3 linked regions of the Macaca fascicularis genome follow. The protein of the gene in region 3 purifies or fractionates together with the protein of the main gene of each other region. This does not show direct contact. Links are inferred from orthologs where the notes say so. Each region holds a gene or a part of one and is shown on either strand. Other genes may lie near its edges. The genes, in order: BICRA, BCL7B and SMARCD1.

The links.
Region 1: the proteins of SMARCD1 (region 3) and BICRA purify together in Homo sapiens (affinity purification with mass spectrometry; 5 studies listed by BioGRID and IntAct, counting the BioPlex papers as one, with this or other methods). This does not show direct contact. The link is inferred for Macaca fascicularis from reciprocal best matches to the Homo sapiens genes SMARCD1 and BICRA.
Region 2: the proteins of SMARCD1 (region 3) and BCL7B purify together in Homo sapiens (affinity purification with mass spectrometry; 4 studies listed by BioGRID and IntAct, counting the BioPlex papers as one, with this or other methods). This does not show direct contact. The link is inferred for Macaca fascicularis from reciprocal best matches to the Homo sapiens genes SMARCD1 and BCL7B.

What each region holds. Positions count from the first base shown.
Region 1 is NC_088393.1:55,707,749-55,711,309, reverse strand, and holds part of BICRA (BRD4-interacting chromatin-remodeling complex-associated protein), read right to left. Parts: intron 3,510-3,561; coding exon 3,333-3,509; intron 1-3,332. UniProt on the Homo sapiens protein: Component of SWI/SNF chromatin remodeling subcomplex GBAF that carries out key enzymatic activities, changing chromatin structure by altering DNA-histone contacts within a nucleosome in an ATP-dependent manner.
Region 2 is NC_088377.1:52,421,937-52,425,939, reverse strand, and holds the start of BCL7B (B-cell CLL/lymphoma 7 protein family member B), read left to right. Parts: upstream 1-1,187; 5' UTR 1,188-1,312; coding exon 1,313-1,404; intron 1,405-1,659; exon of another isoform or gene 1,660-1,852; intron 1,853-4,003. UniProt on the Homo sapiens protein: Positive regulator of apoptosis. Plays a role in the Wnt signaling pathway, negatively regulating the expression of Wnt signaling components CTNNB1 and HMGA1.
Region 3 is NC_088385.1:56,914,732-56,919,026, reverse strand, and holds the start of SMARCD1 (SWI/SNF-related matrix-associated actin-dependent regulator of chromatin subfamily D member 1), read right to left. Parts: upstream 2,808-4,295; 5' UTR 2,780-2,807; coding exon 2,603-2,779; intron 1,983-2,602; coding exon 1,795-1,982; intron 1,509-1,794; coding exon 1,466-1,508; intron 1,373-1,465; coding exon 1,250-1,372; intron 766-1,249; coding exon 643-765; intron 1-642. UniProt on the Homo sapiens protein: Involved in transcriptional activation and repression of select genes by chromatin remodeling (alteration of DNA-nucleosome topology).

The sequences.
Region 1 (3,561 bases), on a different chromosome or scaffold from region 3:
TGTTTGTGTTAACACAAAGGGAAAATGTGCGCACGGGCACACACACATACACACACACACACACAGAGGCTGCCAAATCCATCTGGGTCCAGAGATCAGAGTTCCGAATGCAGGGGTTGGAGTTCAGACAGTAAGAGAACCACTACTTTTACTAACAGTAAGAATCATCCAGATTGGGAACTGCTATTCCGTGCATTCCTGCATATACACAGGATAGTGGTTCTCAATCTGGATGATTCTGTCCCCGCCAGGGGACACTTGGCCAATCACCCAGTCACACACCCACCCATGCCATCCATCCGTTCGTCCATTCAGCCATCCATCTGTCCATCCACTTGCCCATTCAACAAACATTCATCGACCACCTTCTGTCATGCTGGCACTGTTGCAGACACAGCTACTGTGGAGAGTCCTACCTTGTGCCTCCCCGCCTCTCTGTGTGACTAAGAGTCAGCTCGGGTGCACACCTGACTGTGCGCACTAAGCATCCTTCTCAAAGGTCATCCACGTGGCCAGGCACAGTGGCTTACCCCCGTAATCCTGGCCCTGTGAGAGGCCAAGGTGGGAAGATTACTGAGCCTAGGAGTTCGAAACCAGCCTAGGCAGCATAGTGAGACCCCATATCTCCCCCACAAAATAAAATACAAAAAAAAAAAAAAAATTAGCTGTGCGTGGTGGCACGCACCTGTAGTCCCAGCTACTTCAGGGTCTGAGGCGGGAGAATCACTTAAGCATGGGAGGCAGAGGTTGTAGGAGCCAATATTGCACCACCGTACTCCAGCCTGGGCGACAGAGCCAGACAGACCCTGCTTCCAAAAAAATAAGTTCAGCTACAGCATAATTACTGCAACTGCTAACAGTAAGTGTCTGTTCACTAAGCACTGGCTCTGTGCAGTGCCATCATGTCAGGTCACTGGCCTTATTCCCATTTTAGATGTAAAAACCATGCCTCAGAGAGCTCCACTAAGCAGAGCTGGATTCACACCCAGGTCTGGCTTTCTCAAGACTTCAGGTGTCTCCAGCAGTAAGCCCCCAGGGTTTAAATCCAGGCCCTACCATTTGCGAGCTGGGCAACCTTGGGTAAGCTAATTAATCTCCCTTTGCCTCTGTTTCCTCACCTGCAAAATGAGATGCTGCCACCTGCCTGGTGGAGGTTGTGAGGTTTAAATGAGAGACTGCTAGGCCGGGTGTGGTGGCTCACACCGGTCATCCCAGCACTTTGGGAGGCTGAGGCGGGTGGATCACCTGAGGTCAGGAGTTTGAGACCAGCCTGGCCAACATGGCGAAACCCCATCTCTCTACTAAAAATACAAAAATTAGCCAGACATGGTGGCGGGAGCCGGTAATCCTAGCAATTTGGGAGGCTGAGGCAGGTGGTTCACCTGAGATCAGGAGTTTGAGACCAGCTTGGCCAACATGGTGATACCCCATCTCTACTAAAAATATGAAAATTAGCCAAACGTGGTGGGGGGCACCTGTAATCCCAGCTACTCAGGAGGCTGAGGCAGGAGAATCACTTGAACCCAGGAGGTGGAAGTTGCAGCGAGCTGAGATCTTGCCACTGCACTCCAGCCTAGGCGACAGAGTGAGAGTCTGTCTCAAAAAATATATAATAATAATAAAAGCAAACATTTATCAAGTGCTTACTTTGTGCTAACTCATTTACTCCACCTAAGTGCTCCCTCAGCCTACCTAAGCATCTGCTGATGGAATGAACTACTGGTTGCTAAAGGTTAAATGGTAAGTGGGAGAGCCTGCAAGTGAAATAATGGCTGTTCAAGGTCAAAGCCCATGCTGACTTCTGCCATCCTGCCCTTGTCACTGTCACACTCTCCTCTTCCTACCTATCCACTGGTCCTTTTTGAATGAGTACCACATTCACTGCTCTAGAATAAGAGGGTAGCCCTCCCTAACCTGCTATGTGCTTATGACTCATAAGCATACTGCTTATTACTCTTAAGACAAAAGGCTAATTTTCCTAATATGTAAAGAGTTTCTACAAATCTACAACAAAATGACAGTAACCCAGATTTTACAATGGCAAAGGGTATGAGCAGTTTCACAGAACAGAAAGTACATATGGCTCTTACTCTTATGAAAAGCTGCCTGACCTCATTCACAATAAAAGAAATGCAAATGAAAACAAAACAAGATACTATTTTTCACCTATCTAGATCGGCCAAGTTCAACATACTGGTGAGGTTGCGGGCGGGGTGGGGAAGGCATAATCACATATTGCTGATAAAGGTTAAACTCATTTGTACTCCACAGGGGGCAATTTGACAATATCTGTCAGAGATAAAAATGCATATGCCTTTAGAGCCAGCAAATTCCTTGTGAAGAACTTACCCTACAAAATGACATACATACAAAGGCATTCTTTGCAGCCTTGTTCATAATAGCTACAGATCAGAAGTGATCTAAAAACCCAACAATTTAGACTGGCTAAATAAATATCAGTACATGCACACAGTGGAATACTACGCAGTCACATAAAAGAATGAAGAATGGGAACGGGCACAGTGGCCAACACTTGTAATTCCAGCACTTTGGGAGGCCAAGGCGGGCAGATCACTTGAGGTCCGGAGTTCAAGATCAGCCTGGGCAACATGGTGAAACCTTGTCTCTACTAAAAATACAAAACTTAGCCCAGCATGGTGGCAGGCACCTATAATCCCAGCTACTCAGGAGGCTGAGGCAGGAGAATCATTTGAACATGGGAGGCGGAGGTTGCAGTGAGCCGAGATCGTGCCACTGCACTCCAGCCTGGGTGATAGAGTAAGACTCCATCTCTTTTTTTTTTTTTTAAAGAGAAAATGAAGAATGGTCTCCAAGATCAATTTTTAAATAATAAAAAATGCAATACTGCAGGCAGAGGATGCTACCCTTTTTGTAAAAATTGAAGGAAAAGAATCCATATTTGATTGTTTCCCTATCCAGATAACAAATGCAAGAAACCACCCTGGGAAGATGACAGGAGGCTACGGTTCAGGAGAGGGGGGCTCTCCACTATGCATCTTTTTGTACCTTCTTAAATGTGAATTATCTGAATGTATTACTAATTCGGATGTGAAAATTATAATTTTAGGAAATAAGAGATTTCCTTCCGTGTGTGTCTTGCATTCCTGCAGCGCATGGGCTCCCCCAGGGCCGGCCCTGGTCTCAGGCATCCATGATCATTGGGAAACACTTTGTGGGAGTGAAGGAGAGCTCTGTGTTCCAAGTCAGCAGGACAGAGACGCAGGCAGGGCGGAGAGCGAGGAGCGGGAGAGCGGGCAGGAGGGGCGAGGCTGGGTCTGTGCTGCGGACACACGCTGTTGGGGTCTCTCTACCTGGGGGGCCGGAGCCGGGGAAGCCTGGCCGTCGGGGGCCTGAGGGCCAAGGCCAGCTCCTTTGGCGACGGGGGTGGCCGGGGCTGGGTCTTGGGCGGGAGGCGGGGCGCTGACTATGACCGAGGCAGGCACGGAGAGGTGGGGACCCTCTGCGGAGAGGGGCTGCTGGCTCCTCTCCTGCAATGGGCAGCCCGCACAGGGTCAGAAGGCCGCCCCCACGGGCCCTCGA
Region 2 (4,003 bases), on a different chromosome or scaffold from region 3:
AAAAATACAAAAAAATTAGCCGGGTGTGATGGCGGGCGACTATAGTCTCAGCTACTCGGGAGGCTGAGACGCAGAATTGCTTGAACCCGGGAGGTAGAGGTTGTAGTGAGTCGAGATCACACCACTACACTCCAGCCTGGGCAACAGAGTGAGACTCCATCTCAGAAAAAAAAAAAAAAGACAGGCGCGGTGGCTCACGCCTGTAATCTCAGCACTTTGGGAGGCCAAGGCGGGCAGATCACGAGGTCAGGAGTTCGAGACCAGCCTGACCAACATGGTAAAACCCCGTCTCTACTAAAAATACAAAAATTAGCTGGGCGTGGTGGTGCGTGCCTGTAATCCCAGCTACTCTGGAGGCTGAGGCAGGAGAATCACTTGAACCCAGGAGGCGGAGGTTGCAGTGAGCTGAGATCATGCCACTGCACTCCAGCCTGAGCCACAGAGCGAGACTCCGTCTCAATAAATAAACTGGAAGTTGTTTGAAACCAAAACCACGTATGTCTTCAGTTTTTGGTACAGAGTCCTGCACAAAATAGGCATCTTTTATTTATTTTAGAGATGGGGTCTCCATATGTTGCCCAGGCTGGAGTGCAGTGGCTATTCACAGGTGCGATCATATCACAGCTGACTGCAGCCTCAAATTCCTGGGCTCAAGTGATCCTCCTGCTTCAGCCTCCCGAATACTTGAGACTACTAGATACTCGAGAAAAGGCAAGAATGTGGTCTGAATGTTGGGAAAGCAGTTCATCTGGTGAAGAGAGGAGAGGATTCCAGGTGAGGAACAGGTATGTGCAAAGGCCAGAAGGCATCCTGAAGAAACGCGAAGAAAGGCGTGGTTGGAGCACAGCGGCAGAGCCAGAGGGCAAAGGTGCTGGACAGGAGAGGCGGGAGGACAGAGACAGCGCAGGAGCGCGGTTCCACAGGGTCAGGTCCCTAACACGCTGGCCAGAGCAGGGAGCCGACCTCCAAACTCCCAGGGAAAAGAATCAGTTGCCCACCGGCAGCACCTCACACCTCGCCCTGACTACAGCACGTGCGCCCGGCCCGCCTCGCACCCCGGCCCGGGTGGGGGCTCAGGGGACTCCCGGGGCGCTCAGGAGGGACGCCCCGGGCGGGGCGCGCAGGCGCGCTGAGGCCGCGAGCCCCAAGGGGCGGGCGGGTGCGCGCGCTTCCTCGCGCACGCGCGCACAGAGGGGGCGACGGCCGCGGTGACGCTGCGGCGGCGGCGGCGGCGGGCGGGCGGCGGCGCGAGGCGCGCGATACCCGGTGTCTTGGGAGCAGTGCCCTGGCCCCCGCCGCTCCCGCCGCCGCCATGTCGGGCCGGTCGGTCCGGGCGGAGACCCGCAGCCGGGCCAAAGACGACATCAAGAAGGTGATGGCGGCCATCGAGAAAGTGCGGAAATGGTGAGGGGCCGGAGGTTAGGGGGCTGGCGGGGGTCGCGGGTCCAGGCCCTGAGGAGCGCGGGACTGGCGAGTCGGGTGGGAGCCGACCGGCCGGCGCTGGGGGAGGGGGACGCGGGAGAAGGCGGGAGGAGGGCGCCGCTGGCGTCGGCGTGAGGTCAGAGGGCGCGCCGGCCGCGGCCAATCAGCGGGCCGCCCAGTTCGCGGGCCCGCCCACCTGCTGCGGCTGCGGTCGCGCGCTGCCCGGGAGGGGATGCCGGCTTCCGGCCCGTGCTGGGGCCGCCTGGCCTCGGTGTCGCCGCGCCCGGCCCAGCCGGGGGCCCGCCCTCCACTCTTCCTGGGTTTTGGCCCCGCCTGCGTTTCCAAGCTGGCCCTTGATAATAGCGAGTATCCCTGGAGTGATTTCAACCCGCCAGGCTGAGAGCTCTGCGTATTCAGGCATTGAAGTTGGGTGAGTTTATGGGTTTGTCTGTTAAGGGAGGAAGCCTGGTGTCATCCAAAGGAAAACCCCTCACTTTCCCCCAGAACCCGGCCCCTGCGCCGCGAGCTTGGTAGGCATTTTCTCTTGCTGCCCTGACGGCTGTCAGGAGAGTCCTTTGCAAACTATGTACCAGCCTCCCTTTAATTTCTCTGGTTCTGCTCTTGCTCATTACCCAGCCCGTTCATCGTCTGCACTGAGTGATTTTATTTTTCTCACTTCCAAGTAGCAGTGGTCTTTTTAAAGTGCACGTCCTTACTTGGGAGGCTGTGGTGGGAGGATTGCTGGGACCCAGGAGTTGGAGGCTGCAGTGAGCTATGATCGTGCCACGGCACTCCAGCCTGGGCTACGGCGAGAGACCCCATGTCTAAAATGTGCATGGAAGACGCCGGTTGAGCACGTATTTTGTATCCAGATCTCCGATACACACTGTGTCGGTGTGTATCAGAGTCATCACGTTAAACTTTCATAGCCAACTTTGTCAAGTTTTTTGTATAGCCAATTACTACCCATTATTAAAAACCCAAGTATGGCTAGGTGAGGTGGCTCAGGCATGTAATCCCAGTACTTCGGGAGGCTGAGGCGGGCGGATCGCTTGAGGCCAGGAGTTTGAGACCAGCCTGGGCAACATAGTGAGACCCGGTCTCTACAAAAACTAAAAGTTCAAGTAGATATTACCTCCCGCCAGGAAGCCTTCCTTAACGTCTCCCACCCCTCACCCTTTACTCCCTTTAAGATCATTGGTACATTGACCTTTATTTGTGTGTTTATCTGTCCATTTCCACACAAGAGGGAAGTTCCTTCTCTTTCTATGTCTGAGGGCTTCATATATAGTTGGGTTTCCGTATAAATAGTTTAATTTATTCATGGTTTTCCTCGTCCACCTTTAATCCTCCAAGATTTTGGTGAAACCTGAGAACAGGCACACCCTTCTCTTCTCCCCATTTTTGACCCCCCGCCCCTAGCAGGCTAGGCTCAAGGGCCGTCCTCTGTCACCTGGAACTCTGTACCAGCCTCTTCTCTCTCTGCTGCTCTTGCTCATTCCCCAATCTGTTCATTGTCACCGAGTGATTTTATTTTTCTCTCTTCCGAGTTACAGAGTGATCTTAAAGTGCACAGCTTTATTTGGGAGGCTGTGGTGGGAGGATCGCTGGAGCCCAGGAGTTGAGGCCGCAGTGAACTATGGTCATACCATGGCACTCCATCCTGGGCAACAGAGCGAGACCCCATCTGTAAAAAATATATAAAATGTGCATCTTATGCTAGCACCCCTAGTAATGCTTCAGTGGTTCCATTCTTGCTTTTAGGATAAATACCGAAGAAGGCCTTCCTTCCTGCCTCACTTGGCTGGCTCTTTCCCAGGATGCCCACCGTCTTTCCAGTGAAGTCACTCTGCTCTTCCTGCCGCCTGGCATTCTTCTTCCTCTCTTTTCTCCTCCCTCTTGCTGAGTTAACTCCTAGCGCAGCTCAAAAGTTGCTTCCTTAGGTTCACCACTTGAGATTCCCAATCTAGATCAAGTCCCCTTCACAGAACTTTCCACGATTGTATTAGATGGACTCATAAGACATTTCTTATATTTGACTTCTGTTTTGTTTTTCTTTTTAGACAGAGTCTTGCTGTGTCACCCAGGTTGGAGTGCAGTGGTGCAATCTTGGCTCACTGCAACCTCTGCTTCCCAGGTTCAAGCAATTCTGCCTCAGCCTTCTGAGTAGCTGATTGCAAGTGTACACCACCACACCCAGCTAATTTTTGTATTTTTGTAGAGACTGGGTTTCACCATGTTGGCCAGGCTGGTCTTGAACTCCTGACTTCAAGTGGTCCTCCCACCTCGACCTCCCAAAGTGCTGGGATTACAGATGTGAGCCACTGCATCTGGTCTCCTGTATTTGGCTAATTAACCTACAAAAATGGCAATTTGATATGGTTAAACCTAATAATTAAGTGACTAATCCTGAATTGAGCTATTCATGTCTGTTTCCAGATATAAGACAGGGTCTGTGAGGGCAGGGACCATGGATCTTGTTCTCTGCATCGCCAGGTCCTAGCACAGCCTGTTGTAGACTAATTGGTTGAATAAATGAGAAAATGGAGTGGTCTGTTCAGGAATTCTAGTTATTTTCTAA
Region 3 (4,295 bases):
CCGGACCTATATAGAGAAGGAGGCTCTGACACTGAGCCCTGGTTCTCCTGCAAAAGTGCATTCCAATTAGCTTCCTGCGAGCAGCTAAAAATAGAGCAAGAGAATGTAAGGGAATGAGAGAAAGGTGAGCTTCCCCGAGGAGCTTCTGGGTTGGGAAGTTTGGGGGCTATCACCTGTCAGCTGATGCTCCCCAGGAAGCAACAAAGAGCCTGTCAAGAGAAATCTATCCTACTTAAACTATGGGGTGCCTCCAATGAAAGTTGAGAAGATGGAGATACCACAAGAACTCAGAGAGGAAACACGGCCTCAAATGAAGTGCAAACTCGACTAAAAACAAAACAAAACAAAAACTAAATAATCTACAGATACGGCTAAATCCAATGGCCAGCAGCACCAAGAGGAAGGTAAATCACAAATCAGATCCCAGGACAATAAGGTTCTCCACATGATACCAGTGAAGGCCAAAGGTGTGGGGGCAAACACAAAGGACCATTGTCTTTCAGTGCAGGGAACAGTGTCCCTCTCCCTACTGCTCCCAAAAGGAGCTGTGAGCACCAGTTAGGCTTCCTGCTGACCAGACAACACTGTTCATTCCCAGCAGCTCCCACCCTAGATGCCAACCACTGTGGACCTTGAACTCACATCCTCCAGGAGCCGTCCTTCTACCCGAAGCTCCCAGGAAGCCACCGTCCCTTCCCCATCCTCGGCATCTGACTTAGCCGGATTGAAAGTGTTAGAAATGAAAATTCGCAGCTTCCGTTTTTGCTGAGGAAGGCAGAAACAGGATTGATCGTGGGGCTTCAGTGGTCTAATGTTGAAGACAAGAGTCTCCCCAAACCCCAAAATTATTCCTAACAGACTGGCTTACTGTCTACCCAGTCCCTTGGGTGGGTGGATGAAGATTCCATTTAGAAGAGGAGTACTGGCCATCAGCCTAAGTACAAGTGCATACAGTGGGATGCCAGGTGGACAAAGTCACGCAAGGTGCCAGGTTCCCAAGGTAGCAGAGCAGTTACAGCAAAAACATGGACAAGGGTATATTTGTAGTGCAAGAGACATCAAGAGCCCCTCCCCCTTTGCCATTCTGTTCTTATCCTCCTAATGTAATTCTCAGTTTGTAGGCGGAAGGGAAAGATACAATTTAAATGCCAAGGAGAGTTGTGCTGTGCCTTTGATTTCTCATCCTAAGCCTGCTGAAGGTTCCTGGGTCCTCTCCTTTGGCTCTCTGCTTAGTAACTTCCTGTGTTACCTTGATGGGACGTTTCAAGGCCTCTTGGATATCTAGTCGTTTCCTCATGATAGTCTGGTCCAGTTTCCTTTCAAAAGCCAAGAGATCCATATAGGCCTGGGATTCTGGTACCAGTTCACGAATCTTAGGAACAGAAAAATTAATTGAAATCTAGGATGATTCATCTCTATACTCAAACCTACCACACTTTCCAGAAAACAGATAGCCTGGACTCACCCTTTGAGGTAGAATTTTGTCAGCCATCTTCTTTTTCTTTGCACTGTTGGGAATAAACACTATTATCAGGTTGGGACAGAACTAGTCAGAACGTGAAAATAAGCTGTCAGCATGTCCATTTATAGTAATGTGAAGGGATTGCAAAGCTGCTCTCAAAGAACTACCACCACCACCACCACCACCACCACCACCACCACCACCAAGCATTCTCAATCATCCTGTAGCACCATCTGCTGACACAGCACCACCACTTCTTGGTTCAGGTAATCCCACCACCTGTGTACTCCCAGGCTCCCTCCCTCCCTCCCTCTGCCCCAGGATCATCTTACTTGTGGTTTCGATTTTGGACAGCCTGCTGCTGGACCTGCTGGATCTGCTGAGGGGCAGGTCTCTTGCGGGACTGATCCATCCCTGACTGGGCCAGGCCAGGTCGGACTGAAGGGTTCCCCCCATAGCCAGGGGGTCCCATGGAAGGTCCCTGAGGTGTCATTCGGCTGCCTGGCAACATACCTGGTCTCTACAGAGGGGAGAGGACCCAGAGATGTCATGGTTTCACCTGCTAAACCCCACCAAGAAAGAAAAGCAGGGAACGCCTGAGTTCTTTGAATGAAGTAAGGTTTACGGATGGAATGGAGGACAATGAGACGAGAACCCTCTGCTCCAGCAGTGACTCCACAGAAAAATAAGAGTCCAAAAGCTAAGCGAGAGCCAGATTATACTCAAATTATCGGTCTATTTTGGATCGGACACATCGGACATCGCCAGTTCCACATTTACTCTGCTAGCTACTATCTCTTTAGAAGCTGACCTCAATTTGTCAGCTACACGTTCTGTGTTCCTTTGATCAATGGAGCTGCTCAAGCCCCTCTGCACTCCGGCCCTCGTATAGGTATCCCTGGACCCACTTCACCCACCCTGGTTCTCTACCGACTCCCCACGGAAACAATGCCCCTAGGAGCTGGTGTGGACACCAACTGCCTCCCCCTCTCTTCCTGCGCACTGCCTCCCCCAGCCCCCACCCAGAGCCCGAACCCCTCCCAAGGGAGTCCCTCCTACTTCTCCCCCCACCCCTGTCACTCCCACGTCCCCGCTCGGCCCCGCCCCCGGCCCGCGCGTCCCTCCTCCTGCCCCACTCACCGGATAGGCCGCTCCGGGCATCGGGGAGCGGTACAGCCCTTGACCCGGAGCCGGGCCCATTCGCACGGGAGGCCCCGGAGTTCCGCCCGGGCCCAGGGCAGCAGCCGCGCCCGCCCCTCCCGAGGCTCCGGCGCCGCCGCTCGGAGCCACAGACTGGAAACCCGCCCGGGCCGCCATCTTCCCGGAGCCGCCGATGCAGCTGCACAAAGAACCGGAACCGGAACTCCCCCCGCCCCCTGAGCGCCCCCCGAGCGCCCGCCTGTTCCCCCGGCCGGCTGGCCGGCACGGGAGGCTCAGGGCAGCGAGACTGTCGCCTAGAGAGGAGCGAGTAGCGGAAAAGGCGTGCTGGCCACGCCCTCCCGCCTTCACGGTCCTGGAGGGAAAACCATAGAGAAGAACTCTGGGATAGAGAGGCCCCGTGAGTGGGCGCCCCCAGGCCGACGGGAGGTAGACAAGGACCTGGAAAGGGGGACGGACCACAGCCTCAGCCCCAGTCTCAACCCCGACTCCAGCCCGCTGATGATGAGGTGCTTGGAGTAATAGCTTCATCTTGGCGCATGGCATTAACTTCCCAAAACGCTTTGATTGCTTTTCGTTTCATTTTCTTACTGCTATAACTATCAGGGGCTGAGGAGGGAAACACAGTTTATTCCATTTTCCAAATAGGAAAGCTGAACTCACAGGTGAACGACTTGGCAAAGGTCAACCAGCAAGTTAGTCATAAAGCCGAAGCCAAGATTCCAGGTCTTCTTGCTCATAGCCCAGGACTCATTCCACAGATAAAGTGCCTCAATAACTACCTCACGTGGGAACTTCAACCTAACTTTGTCTCCGACCTAACCTGCTTCCGGATTATTATTATTATTATTTTTTCGACATGAGGTCTGTCTTTGTCACAGTGGCACCATCTCAGCTCACTGCAACCTCCGCCTCCCAAGCTCAAGTGATCCTCCCACCTCAGCCTCCCGAGTAGCTGGGATCACAGGCATGCACCACCATGCCAGGCTGTTTTGTATTTTTGGTAGAGACAGGGTTTCACCATGTTGCCCATGTTGGTTTCAAACTCCTAAGCTCAAGTGGTCTGCGCGCCTCAGCCTCCCAAAATGCTGGGATTACAGGTGTGAGCCATTGTGCCTGGCCTCAGATTTTTTTTTAATATTAAAAAATAGGGATGGGGGTTTCATTATGTTGCGTAGGCTGGTCTCGAACTCCTGGCCTCAAGTGATCCGCCCGTCTCAGCCTCCCAAAGTGTTGGGATTACAGGCGTGAGCCACCGTGCCAGCCTGCTTCCAGATTTTATAATAAGTTCCAGTTTATCTTGAATTTTGACTCTGCTCTCTCTCTAAAGCATTGTTCGTGATGGGGATTCTGTTTTGGACCTTTGTTGCCTTTGACTCCTCCCTCTTTCCCTGCCCAGTGGTTCAAACTATTCCTGATACGATGGTCAGCCGTCCCATCCCAGGAGGACCACAGTCTCCCTATTCAAACCTTCTCCTTACTCATCCCCTAATTGTTTGGCCCCAAACCAAGCTCAGCTCTAGGCACTTAGTGAGAATACCTAAATATGTTTTCAAATAAGTGAACAACACTGAAGAGGAGATGGTTGAAACCCAGTTTATTAGACCAGAGGCATGCGTCACCCAAAGCCCTGCCTGCTGTTCCCCTATCCAATGCACACTTTTTGGCCTCATTC